Linked DNA regions of Drosophila melanogaster. The protein of the gene in region 2 purifies or fractionates together with the protein of the main gene of each other region. This does not show direct contact. Each region holds a gene or a part of one and is shown on either strand. Other genes may lie near its edges.

Region 1 (7,040 bases), on a different chromosome or scaffold from region 2:
TACCAAGGTCCTGGCCGACAAGCAGCTGGCCGAGAGCAAGAAGTACAATGAAATCGACAATGCGCCCGAGGAGAAGGCTCGTGGTATTACCATCAATGTAGCCCACGTGGAGTACCAGACGGAGACGCGTCACTACGGCCACACAGATTGTCCGGGACATGCCGATTATATTAAGAACATGATCACCGGCACAGCCCAGATGGATGGCGCCATTCTCGTTGTGGCCGCCACCGATGGCGCCATGCCCCAAACTCGCGAGCATATGCTGCTAGCCAAGCAGATCGGCATTGATCACATCGTGGTGTTCATCAACAAGGTGGACGCCGCCGATGAGGAGATGGTCGACCTGGTGGAGATGGAGATCCGAGAGCTGCTTACCGAGATGGGCTATGATGGTGACAAGATCCCTGTGGTAAAGGGCTCGGCGCTGTGCGCCCTCGAGGACAAGAGTCCCGAGATCGGCAAGGAGGCGATCCTGAAACTGCTCCAGGAGGTGGATAGCTTCATCCCCACGCCTGTGCGCGAGCTGGACAAGCCCTTCCTGCTGCCTGTTGAGAATGTGTATTCGATTCCCGGACGCGGCACCGTCGTCACTGGTCGCCTGGAGCGCGGAGTGGTCAAGAAGGGCATGGAGTGCGAGTTCGTGGGCTATAACAAGGTGCTGAAGTCGACGGTGACGGGCGTGGAGATGTTCCACCAGATTCTGGAGGAGGCGCAAGCCGGTGATCAGCTGGGAGCTCTGGTGCGCGGCGTTAAGCGAGATGACATCAAGCGCGGCATGGTCATGTGCAAGCCGGGCAGTGTGAAGGCACTCGATCAGCTGGAGGCCCAGGTGTACATCCTGTCCAAGGATGAAGGCGGTCGCACAAAGCCCTTCATGTCCTTCATCCAACTGCAGATGTTCTCCCGCACCTGGGACTGTGCCGTGCAGGTGCAGATTCCCGATAAGGAGATGGTCATGCCCGGCGAAGACACCAAGCTCATTCTGCGCCTCATCCGGCCAATGGTCCTGGAGCAGGGACAACGCTTCACGCTGCGTGACGGAAACCTGACCCTGGGCACTGGTGTCGTCACCAGCACTCTGCCCCCATTGACTGAATCGCAGCGATCCGAGTTGACGGAGGGCAAGAAGGCGCGCGAGAAGAAGGTGGCGGCTAAGAAGTAGATCCCCGGAACGCCGTCAGTCATTAACTAAAATCATATTCTTAAGCGATTTTTATGCATATTGTATAAGTTGTTGGCGCTCCAATCACAATCGAGTAAAATATAAACAAACACCTATGGACAACGAAGTTTTAAAACTTGGAATATTAGTAGGGATCTTAAAATTGATTTAAAATAGTACGGCTTTTAAGTATTACTGTTGTTGCCTGACATTTCGGCATTTCAAAGGACTATTTGTTATATAAAGTTATGTAAGTAAGCATTGATCATTGATAAAGGGCAATATTTAATTTAGGCGCCACTCATCGATTGCTTATCGCTCTATGTTAACGGCATCCGAAATAGAGTGGTATCGAAATGGAGCCGATAAAATCAAACAAGGCCGATAATAACCTGACTACGACATTTTACAACACTGCTGCAACCGCCTTGAACGCAGCTGATGATAAAGAACATTTTGAAATTGATTTGAAAATTGGCAAAAATGAGTACCTACCGCGTAGACTACTTGACCGGTAGATTCAAGCACCGTAAACGTTTGTTTGCAAAGTAATTAATAACTTATTTTGTCCGCAGATTCCCTAGACGACACGGAACCATTGCCGGAGCTGAGTTTTGAAGACTTTTTGGAGCCAACGTCGGAGAAGAGTTCCCAGCACATGGAAATCGAAGCTCTGGACTCAGAGGAAGACAATATCGGCGGTGAAGATCTGGCCGATCCGGCCAACGATTCCCTGAACACGCCGCAGTTTAAGAAGAACGTGGTCCACATACTGGAGGACAAGAGGTTAAACTCGTCCGGACTAACCGTTTTGAAGTCGCACGCCATTAAGATGGTGACTGCCGGAGGTACTCCTCCGGCCAAGGCGCAAGTTACAGACGTAAAGATACTAAACAAATTGAAACCAATACCCAGCAGTACGCTAAAGATCGGTAGCACGACCATAGCGACCAAATCCACACCGGGCAGCATAACCAAGACTTTGGGCAACTTGACCCAGATTAGGACGAAAGATGGCCAAGTCATCTTTGTCCAGAAGTCTGTTCCTGGAACACAAAGCAGCACTGCGGTGACAGGGTCACCAAGCGGTGGAATAAGACGCCTCGTGGCGCCTTCTGGTATCCAGAAGGCAGTGCTTTCTAAGGGCGTGACCATGGCAAGCACGGGTCTGGTCAAGGCGGCTGTTCCTGCCAAAGCAAGCACCTCGGTACCCGGCTCAGCCATAACCTTAAAGGGCATCCAACCGCTGGCCGGAGGCACTGCGAAGGCGTCGACTTCCAGCACGACGGCAACCACATCCCCATCTTTGGCACAGCCCAACAAAATTCAGGTGGTGCGCACTGCCGATGGCAAAATTATCAAGATCAATCAGGCTGGTCCCTCACTGCTGGTGAACGCCAAACAGGGAACTGGGACCACAGTCACACCAGGAGGTTCTGCCGCCACTTCTGTCAAACTATCTCCCTCCACGGGAAATGTGGTGCTCAACAAGCCCGTTGGCCAGGTAGTGGTGAGAACAGAAACTCCTGTAAAAACGGCGACGGGCTCCGTTGCCAGTGCATCCGCAACACCGGGCAAGATGTTGGTTCAAAGTGGCGGCAAACAGATTCTTGTATCCAACAAGAACATCATTAAGCTGTCGCCGAATGCGAGTGCCACCAGTTCGACAACCCACACGACGGGCGGACAGACACCTTCCACCTCGAGCGGATTGCACGCTATTCAGCTGCCTGGCAAGGGAGGAATACAATATGTACGTGTCCTGAACAACAATAAGAGTGCCGCCGGAACAAGTGCAACAGCCTCAATCCCGAAAACAGTGCAAACTCAGAAGATCACTGTGGTGCGGCCACCGGCTGCTACTGGTGTTCCTGCCACATCTACTACAACATCCGCAGCAGCAGCTTCACCTGCAGCCGCATCGAAGGCAAACCTTGCCATGGGCAACACTAACAAGATTGTAATGCGATCAATGGGTGGCAGCATTGTGCCGCTGCCTTCCGTGCAGACGTTGGTCTCAAAGGTTGGTACTTGTGTTGGTACAAATTTATTTCATTCTAACTCAATTTCCATCTTTAAAGCGTGCGCTGGGCGCCATCTCCAACGCTTCAAAACCAGCCAGTGCGGCGAGCAGCAGCGCCACGCCGAGTGCCAGCCAGGAGTTGCCACGCAAACACCGTCTTACTGATCTCAATGTGCAGCTAAAGCAATCGGCCTCGGTCAGCAGTGAAGCTAGCGACAGCAGCGATGCGGGTCCTGAGGCCAAAAAGCCGCGTTACGTTATTACCATGCAGCAAGGATCACAGAAGGCAGCTTCCCAGCCAGTTCAGAAACTAATTAATCGGACAGCGAATGTACAGCGTGTGGTGTCTAGCAGTACAAGTCCCAGTTCCAACTCCACAAAGAAAATCTACAACTATGTTCAACCGACTGGAAGCAATGGGGCCAAGTACATGATCTGTAACTCGGGTGTGCCCCAATCATCGACGAGTGCCATGCGACGGGGATACACTGGATATGTGGAAAACAAGACGCGACGCCCGCCACCCATTTCCCCGCAACAGCACCGCTTTAAGCAGATGGGTCCCCAGCAGCAGTCCAAGCACCAGCAACTTCAAGCGCAGGCCAAGCAACGGATTAGACAGCAGCAACTGCCTACCGAACAATCGACGCCGATCAAGGTCGAGCCAAAGTTGCCGACACTGCCTCCGGGGGTGAAGGCCAATGTACCTGCCAAGCCGCTCTTTGAAGTCCTAAAACCTCCAGCAACCGCGGCAGCAGCCGGAGCCGTCGATCCATTGGGCGGCATGACTTCGCGGCGAAAGCACTGCAACTGCAGCAAGTCGCAGTGTCTAAAGCTTTACTGCGATTGCTTTGCAAACGGCGAGTTTTGTCAGGACTGCACCTGCAAGGATTGCTTTAACAATCTGGACTACGAAGTGGAGCGGGAGCGTGCTATTCGCAGCTGCCTCGATCGTAACCCCAGCGCCTTTAAGTAAGTTTATTTGAAAGGAAAAGCTTATGAGGTCTATCCTATGTTTCTAAAGATGCTAATCACAACTACTTTTTTTTTTTTTAAACAGACCCAAAATTACGGCACCCAATTCAGGTGATATGCGTCTGCATAACAAAGGTTGCAACTGCAAAAGATCGGGCTGCCTCAAGAACTATTGTGAGTGCTATGAGGCAAAGATTCCCTGCTCCAGCATATGTAAATGCGTTGGTAAGTGAACTGATAAATCTGTTTTATCTATGATCAAACTAACTGAATCAATCAACTTATTATTTAGGGTGTCGAAACATGGAAGACCGTCCGGACGTGGACATGGACTCTCTGGACGGATTGATGGGTGTCGAGGGTCAGAAAAAGGACAAAGCTAAAAACAAGCAATTGAACGAGAATCGCGCAAATATATATTTTACGGACGATGTCATTGAGGCGACCATCATGTGCATGATATCGCGGATTGTGATGCACGAGAAACAGAATGTGGCCGTGGAGGACATGGAGCGCGAGGTTATGGAGGAAATGGGCGAAAGTCTGACACAGATCATCGCTTTTGCCAAGGAAAAGCAAGAAACCTCTCAGATAGACGAGTCCAAGCCTTCTTCTTAGGCATGCAAATATAGTCACACATTAATTAGTTTATAAGTTCAAAGAGTTCTTGACCTTTTCTCAATCATATTCTAATTTTGGCTTTCTAAAAGTTGACCTTAAAGTAAAGTGTTTACCCTATTTAAATAATTTAAACACAAAATGTATATATCATACATAGCAAATTTCAGATATAAGGCTATTTTAATTTTTGGCCGAGCATTGTAATTGTGTTGTAAACTTTTCCCTTGGATTGAATGTAAATAATTTAGATACCTAATAAAGTTTAATGACCATTGAACACAAATGAAAAGAGACGTTGTGTTGTTTTGTAGCTTGTTTATTCACCAACAACTTCAGTTACATATTTGTATTTTGCATTTGCATTGTTTCAAATTTATTGATGGGCGAGTATATTAAACTCAACGCAATTTAGTTTGGTTTTTCACAATATCGGTATCAGCTTAGTTAGCAATATCTCTATAAAATAAACACATGTCGAATGACTACAGTATAGGTAATGCATATATTAGTTGATTGTATTGATAGTAGGTATTTAGTTTTGTATATATGTAGTTTTTTTTGTTTAAGTATAGTTATATATTCTACTTGGTCACCATTGGTATGTATAAATAGCATATAAGTATGTTTGTGTTCTGGTTTCTCCCGGTTCTCACCCTATAAACATGGCATGGCATGACATGAGTACATATGTGTGTATGTATGTAGTTTCAAGGTTTGAGTAAAAATGTGATAATCGTTTAAGGACTATAGTACATATACGTGGTTAGTAATGCTAATATATATATATATATATATGCCCTGTTATACATATTTTTCATACACTGTTTTGACTAATATGCTCGCGCTAAACTATACGTTTTATTTGCGGTCATTCGAATACGAACTTTTTCGAAGAGAGAGTATGTGTGTGCGATTATCTTAAATAGCAAATACATACAGTAAACGTTGAGTATATCGATTTAAGGATAGTTTTGAATATTTGAATACTGTGCACAAAACGCTTTGGTTAGTTGCATTAGCATTGTTTGTTTGTTTGACCCCATACCAGCTTTTTTTTCTTGTGAATTGTTAGTTACGTAACACTTATGCAACATTTGAACATAGTTAGGCAACAATAACGATTTGATTACGCATAATATATATGTATTTGTATTGAGAGTATGCTGAACTATTCAGTTAGAAGCTATATTGTCTAATTCACACGTTTATATTGAATGCTGGGCCCCCAGAAGGGGAGCTAAAGCATAAACTTACACAACAACTTTATGAAAACCGAACAAAACCATTTGCTAAATATCGTATATGTACGTTGGATTTGCATACCCTGTACAATGTCTTTTTCTTAGGTTGTCGTAATATTGTATATGCAATCATTGAAGAGTACCTTAATTGTTAAACGCGTGTTGCATGATTGAATTCGGCAATTCTTCAAAGCGTGAAAAGTCATAACGAACACAGCGTAGAATTTATGGATATTAGTTGAGTAATTCATCTTTCACAACAATAGAACAACGATGATAATCAGCAAGTATTTCAGCTATTCGTATATACAGTTTGTCAATATAACCTCATTGTATACCTGCGATTAACTACATTTTGTCGGCTTTCTTTAAACTTTTTCGACCATTACAGAGCTATAGTTTACTTTACACTACTTTCGATTAGAATTGCTGGGACTATATGCGTTCAAAATAATGATTTTCATTGCCCAAATGAAGAGGAGCATTAGTTTTAAAGAGGATTTTACGTGGTGATCACAACGCTTAAGGACACTTGCAGCCATTCAAGTGCCTTGCGGCAATATCCTTACGATCCAATACGATCTGGTTAAGTGACGAAATAATGTCGGTAATATTTATGGGCTAAGATCCGAAACTTTGGGTGGGAAGAATTGAAGTTATAATCAGTGGGTACTAGTCTAAATTTTGTAGAACACCCAATTTAGCGACTTTATTCCTCACTAGATAATTGCAAACTAAAATACAACTTAAGACTTCTATTCAAAATTGTGAACGCTTATAGACCCTGTATATATTTTTAGATTCTATGGAATGGTGTTTATATTCCACGTACCATTTGGCACCAAAAGCCTATCAAATATTCCCTTTTTTTGTCAGATAACTTGTGTGTGTGCTAATGTGGGCAACAATTTTACAAGATTCAATGATTATATATATATATACTTTATTTAACTTTAACAACTTGAAATATGAAATTGATTTACTTAAGGAAGGTGGGCTTCCGTTGTGGAGTAGT
Region 2 (6,539 bases):
GAGTCCAGCGATGTTTGCGAGTTATCGGGACAGCGGCGGAAGGCCTTTAGAAAGTTTTGGGTGGCCTGTGTTGCGTCATCTTTGCTGAACTGGTATTGGGTCTCCAGAAAATCAGCGAGCTAAGAACGAAATTGGAAAAGGGTTGGCAATTCGCATTATTATTGCGTTACATAAATTCAAAAATATACAAAATTGCGTAGATGTGATAGTGCCGTAAAAACCTCAACCGCGATAAAACTATAAATACGCTATGACGAATTAAAGACGAGATAAGTTAAGAACTTTCACGCAATAAGAAGTGAACAACCTGAAAGTAGAGTTAATATTAATAAAAGCGATTAGAAGCCTCAATACGTGCATAATCTTTTGCGAAACGCGGTAGAACGTAAATCAAAACTATTACGTCCATAAAGTTCTCAATTAAGCGTCAGATTGACCAATCCAATCATTCGATCGAATCCGAAGCCAATTGATTAATTCCAAAATTGTTATAGCATCGCCGTACTATCAGGGGATTGAACATCAAACTGCAATTGCCGCCGGTACACTTGCAGCATGAGTAATATATGAGAATATACTATATTTTATGATCGCAATGATAGCTTGGAAATTTCCACTCGCTATCTATTTTCCGGCCCAACCATCCGCATCTATTGAATCGTACTCAAATCAGGAAGCTAAGCTCACAAAAGTCATTTTGAATGCTAGGAATTTAAGTTGAAATCATTGCGATTAGTCACAAAAACTGTCATGAGTTCCGAAATATAAATGGGCGTGGCTTCGCTCGCTAAGAATTGAAAGCAACTGAATAAAGAAACCGTCTTATTTGGGGTCTTCAAACATTGAGCGTATTGAAACATGAACGTGATAATGAAGTTAACTATCTAAATTGGCGCAGCTTAAAAGATAACGATATAATCTGGAATGCAAGAGTGAGTAAATGTACGTGACATTGAACACATTTTCAAGAATACCTATTTATACCTTTCTCTCTTGAAGGGAAAATTCTAAAAACTTTAACCTTTTAAGATCGCAAATAGACTCATTTATTGTAATAAATAAAGTCAATGGCCTCTGAACGTTCAAACAAGTACATATTGCGAAGTGCTACCTATTATCATCAATTAACCTTTAGCTTCTTTGTGTGCCATTCACTTTATAAGAAGGTTATATTTCAAAAGAAACCATTGACGCGGGTTTCCAAAGTTTGTTGGTATGACGTTTCGTTCAACTTTTGTTAAGTGCAAGTTCCTCGATTTCCGACCTTTTTGCAATCGTTTGCAATCGATAATGCGCACCACGATAAGATCCTGTAAAGTGCCTTTTAACATTTCGAAAACCGAAGATTCCGAATTTCCAACGTAATGCCGATTATTTAGTGGGTTTTAGCCTTCTAAAGTGCATGTACCCGTGGTTATATTTAAGTTAAGACCTTGTCGAGTGCACTCTGAGTTTTTCTTTTTTGTTTTTTTTTTTTTTGTGGCTGGGGGATGTGAAGGGAAGGGAAAGGAAATCAATCGGAACGCAAATAAACAATCGAAATTTCGGGCGCGTGCTATCTGCCGAGCGTCCGGGTTTTTTCGACTACGTAACAACGGGCGGGCTGCAGTGGAAAATTTTCTAGCTGGGTCGCCCGCCTGCTGCGCACTTTCACCTCCCCCGCCCCGCCCCCCCACAAACACTACATGGAAAAGAAACGGAAGAAACGCCAACGGATTGGTGATTGGCAGAGGGGGCAGTGAGGCTGTCTGCCTTGGCTTGGTTAACAAAGCTCACCTTTCTGATCGCCTTGGAATCGCCGGCTCTGGTGGGAATCAACGTGTTGTCCAGGTCAAAGTAAAAGGCCCTGATTTTCGCACATGTCGCATCGAAATGTGAATGTGTGGCTGTCAATTGCTTGCCGCAATGGAATTTGCTAGCTGCCATGAGAGTCGTCGAGCGGAGGGGGGGATGGAGGGTCAGCGAGGGGTCACTGTCAGGAGTGGAGGGGTGGTAGCCGGTTGCTTGGTTAGATGGATGGATGCAAACGTAGAGATCCAAGAACAACTTTGGTGCAATTCAATCCGCCAGCGGATTTGCGCTTTGAAATTGGCGCCAAACGAAACGAAACGAAATGTACGAGCTGCACGACTGCAGCAGCACTGCAGTATTTTTCTATTTTCCTCGAGCGGACTGGCAAAAGTTTCCGCTTCTCGCGCGGCGAAGTTAAAACGGCAACTGAATGACAGCGACAAAAAAAATAATGAAACGGAACGGGAGCGGTCGCAGTAATGTCGAGAGACGGGGTAGCGGGGCGGCGGAACAGGTGAGCGCGTGTGTATGAGTGCTTGTTGACTGAGTGAGAGCGGAGCAGCGAATGAAAAACCGAAAGAAAGTGCGAGGGCGCATGGGAAAACAGTGGTGGCCAAAAGTCTGCGTATGCGAACAGTGCTACCAGGCGGCGGCGCCAATTGATAAAAACTTGATAAGATATTGTTATTCCTTAAGATTTTATATTATTATTAAGATGTTCTTGAATAAGTTTATTTCAATAACTGGTTAGACATCCGTGTTGTGTTGTTCTGGACAACTACTGCGCAGCACATGTGCTTTTTACGGGCACATATTTTTTGGCGCCACTGTGCGAAGTGTGCCAAGTGCCGTTTGCGCGCCAGAGCGAACGAGAGCAGGCGACCTAGCGCAGAGTTGTCTCTATGCGCCGTTAAACGACCGTGAGTGGAAAAGAGAGCACGATAGAGGTCGCGGAGAGGTTCGCGTTTCTCTGCTACGACGCCTGCTCTCCACTCTGAATTTAGTATAAGTCGAGGCACGCTCATTTCCTAATTGTTGTGCCATTTATTTTTAACTTCTATTAATAAAACCAGGAAAAGCAATAACAACAGTTCTTTGTTTACCAAAAATATCAGTTGTTTTATACTTCCTGGTGCTTTCTAGCACTGGCTTGGCGGTAAATCGATAGTATTCGATAGTGATTGTTGAAAGTGGCAACGCTATAGTTTTTGTTTAACGAGGTGGCAAGTGATTAGCCCACGGATTTTTTGGCATCTTTCCGTGTTTATTTTCAATAGTTTTTGGAGTTTTTCAACATTATCCGCGATGAGCAACGCAGAGACAACTACGGATTTGCTTTCTACAGGTGAGTAAATATTTAAATCACATGAAAGGCGCCATAAAACGAGGTTTTCTTGCAGAAACCATTCTAAAAGCGGCGGACGAGGAAGTGGAGAAGGCTTCAGCGTCCAGCAGTAGTACGTTATTGGCCGAAAAGGATGTCCCGGAGGTCAAGGAGCGGCCCATAACGCCGGAAGACGAGCTCATCTCCATGGAAACTCTGCGACCCTCACCTGTCCAATGGCCAGAGCGTTGTAAGTGTAGAAAACGTGAGCACGAAGAAATTGGCGCCATTTTTAACGCATATCTTTATTTTCGATTGCTCCAGTTCCCGGAATGGACGAGTTCCTCTCCATGAGCGACACGCCGATGTACACGCGCAGCACCAACTACACCAGCAATCTGACCGATGATGATATGGTTAAGATTAATGGTAAGTAGCTGCAAAGTCAATGAGATTTAAGAATAGTATATTAAAGAATAGCATATCCATTACCTACTTTTCTATTCCAGAACTAGCCCAGCTCCCTCCCGAGGATCTGATCGATAAAATAAAGTCAATGCATGATGAAATTTACCAGCTGGGACTGCGTGAGGCAATGGAGATGACTCGTGGGAAACTGCTGGGCATCTTTGACCGGGATCGCGCTCCTAAGCGGCAGCCATGAGGCTGGATGATCCGATCCCTAAGAATGGGACTGTCGAGGATCTCGTTGAATTCGCATTAGGAACATAGGTGTAGTTTCATAGTGTACATAGTGCTATTTTTATAGTGAGTAATGCGTGTTGTGAATGATTTATCGCTATTTTACAAAGATAAATAGGCAGGCGTTTGAACAGTAACTAACGTTTATTTCCATTAAAGCATTTTGGGTCCTACACGTCGCTTGTATTACAGATACATTTGAGGAGTCGGAGGAGAGATGAAGTTGACGGATTGGAGGGAAAGGAATGCAGAAGGATCTGGAGTTTTTGGAGAAGGCACAGTAGATTTCGCTATGCAGGGACATTAACGCAACAAATAACTCTGTCTATGTGGGATTGGATGGATCGGTTGCGCTCTAGTGCGTCCTATTAATACTTAACTAAATGCTTTCGTTCGGATTTATGCAGTAGCCTTCCCCACGATCCATCCCAATTTGGGAAAGTGTGTTGGTGCTGATGGTGTGCTTACATGCTGTTTCCCGTGAATATATATCCAGTAACGTGCATCAATTCCCATTACTCCTGCCACTGCATTCCGAATCGCTGCTCAAAGGTGATCCGGTTAAAGACGCCCGCATCGGCCAGCTGCAAGGGATCGGTGTAGTACGCAAAACGCCGTATATCCAGCATGGCCAGGTCGAACATTTGCTTCCAGCTGGTCAAATCTGTAACGCTCATGTGGATCGGCAGCTGGGGATCCGGTATATCGATGGCCGCCTGCAGACGGTCAAACGCCTCGGCAATTGGTCCCACCGATAGATTAACCCAGTACTCCGCTGGAAAGCGCTTGTTCTCACAAAACGGCGCTCCCTTGCGCATGATGAAGACCAGCATGAGTATCTCATAGCGCTCGGAGCTCTCATAGAAGCGCTTGGTTCGGGTCTTCTCCACGAAATCGATGAGAAGGATCAGGGGAGTGTAGTTCTGGAGGTGCATCAACAGCTCCCGGTCGGTCCAAAGGTAACGGCCGCCTTTGACGGTCAGCAGGCTCATGTTGCTGGCGAGTTGTTGATGCTGCTGCTGCTGCTGTTGCTGCTGCAGCTGGTGGTGTTGCTGCTGCTGAAGGTGTTGCTGTTGCTGCTGCTGATGTTGGTGTTGCTGCTGCTGTTGCTGCTGGTGTTGCTGGTGCTGCTGCTGCTGGTGTTGCTGCTGCTGGTGCTGCTGGTGTTGCTGCTGCTGATGCTGCTGGTGAATGCCGCCGGCGGATGGGGCTGGAGTTCCGGTGTTGGATGCCACCTGGCTGGGCATGGCGACCACAATGCCCGTCTGTCTCTGGCAGCCAATCTCCTCCACCATGTGCGCTGCAATGACGACAAAATGCATTTAAGGCAAGTGCCTAAACCAGGCCAAGGTCGCTGCGTTGGCCAAACACCCAGCCACCCCCTGCCCGCCCTCATTATTACTTGTTGCAAATAGCGAGCAGCGAAGAGCGAACGTGCAGCAAGTCAAAGGCTATGGCAATTGCAATTGCAATCAACTTACTGCGTGCCCCAATCAAAGCGGCAGAAATTATGTGTGTATTTATGAGGCGGATGGATCAGCGGGTCTGGATTTGGATCGGGGTACGAATGTGGCCCCCAAGAAGCAGCGGCCTATCTCCTCCGGCAGCTCTGCGTGTTTGCCGTGCGCCCTGGACGATTGTTGCCACGCGAGTGCCTTCCCAAGTCCGAAGTCGGAGCCACTCGGACCCGCATTCTCGTTGCACTCGGGCTCAGTTTTCTCGGTGACTCGGTCGCGCCAGCCGATGGGCATGTGTGGATGTGCATATAGGGACTCGGCCCGTTTGGCAATGAACTTATTGGATGCGTTCTGCGCTGGCTGCGGTTCGCAGATTTGTTACCAAGCGGGCTGCCAACTCTAAAATGTATGCCCCCCAAGCGGTAGATTAAAAAATAAATGTGAAAAACATATATGTAAGCAGTCTACAAAAAAGTAATTTTATGTTTTTAAGACAAGAACTTAAAAGTCTTAGCATTAGTCAATTTCCTATGATATCTTATCTATTTATCATGCTTAAAAATATATAAAATAAACATATATTGTACATATATATATATTATTATACAAATTGAGTTCATATTTAAATACGATATGTAAGATTTGAAGAGTTTTCGAGCACCCTGTTCTATTCGCCTTTGATTTGATTGAAAGCTTATTAAAGCTCATCAGCTTATCAGCAAACGAAATCGAAGTTTGATGCACATAAAAGTGGTATTAAATTTCCAATAAAGGTAGACTGTTGATTTAAGTCAACCTTGAGCGGTAAATAAATAAACAGATTGGGAAAACATAATGCACATAATGCAAACGGTTTTGAGTAACTGCATTTGCATTTAATATGACCCCACATTTTCCCACAAAGCTATAAACAATATCATGATTAACGTATAATTTTTAATAGTAATAAACATCCGTACAGAGAAATTCAAAATGCATGTACAACAATGCATAGCATTGTTAATAATATATATTCTTAGGAGAATTAGACGCGCCCCACTAAATACAATCAGAAAATTACAGCCAATGTCAATAAATTTGAAAAAAAAAAAATAACATATCCTTGGGACGACTAAACTTGAAAACTCTTTTACATAGTCACCTAACCCTTTGTTAAAGATTGCCCACCCTACGATCAAACTCGTCCTTGTGCTCGTTCTTTAGATACTTCCGCATCCCGACGAGCATGTAGCGCACTTTGGGTGCGGACAGGACATCCAGGAGTA

What was found.
Region 1: the proteins of lin-52 (region 2) and mip120 purify together in Drosophila melanogaster (affinity purification with western blotting; 2 studies listed by BioGRID, with this or other methods). This does not show direct contact.

Annotation. Positions count from the first base shown.
Region 1 is NT_033778.4:13,508,049-13,515,088, forward strand, and holds mip120 (Myb-interacting protein 120), read left to right. Parts: upstream 1-1,569; 5' UTR 1,570-1,648; coding exon 1,649-1,679; intron 1,680-1,740; coding exon 1,741-3,188; intron 3,189-3,246; coding exon 3,247-4,160; intron 4,161-4,248; coding exon 4,249-4,388; intron 4,389-4,455; coding exon 4,456-4,781; 3' UTR 4,782-5,064; downstream 5,065-7,040. Other genes in the region: mEFTu1 (mitochondrial translation elongation factor Tu 1), read left to right, coding at 1-1,165. UniProt on the Drosophila melanogaster protein: Component of the DREAM complex, a multiprotein complex that can both act as a transcription activator or repressor depending on the context. In follicle cells, the complex plays a central role in the site-specific DNA replication at the chorion loci.
Region 2 is NC_004354.4:5,751,442-5,757,980, reverse strand, and holds lin-52 (lin-52), read left to right. Parts: upstream 1-3,022; 5' UTR 3,023-3,096; coding exon 3,097-3,136; intron 3,137-3,191; coding exon 3,192-3,365; intron 3,366-3,439; coding exon 3,440-3,544; intron 3,545-3,624; coding exon 3,625-3,779; 3' UTR 3,780-4,332; downstream 4,333-6,539. Other genes in the region: CG15771 (uncharacterized protein), read right to left, coding at 1-119, 1,777-1,926; CG15772 (uncharacterized protein), read right to left, coding at 4,333-5,112; Rtel1 (regulator of telomere elongation helicase 1), read right to left, coding at 6,427-6,539.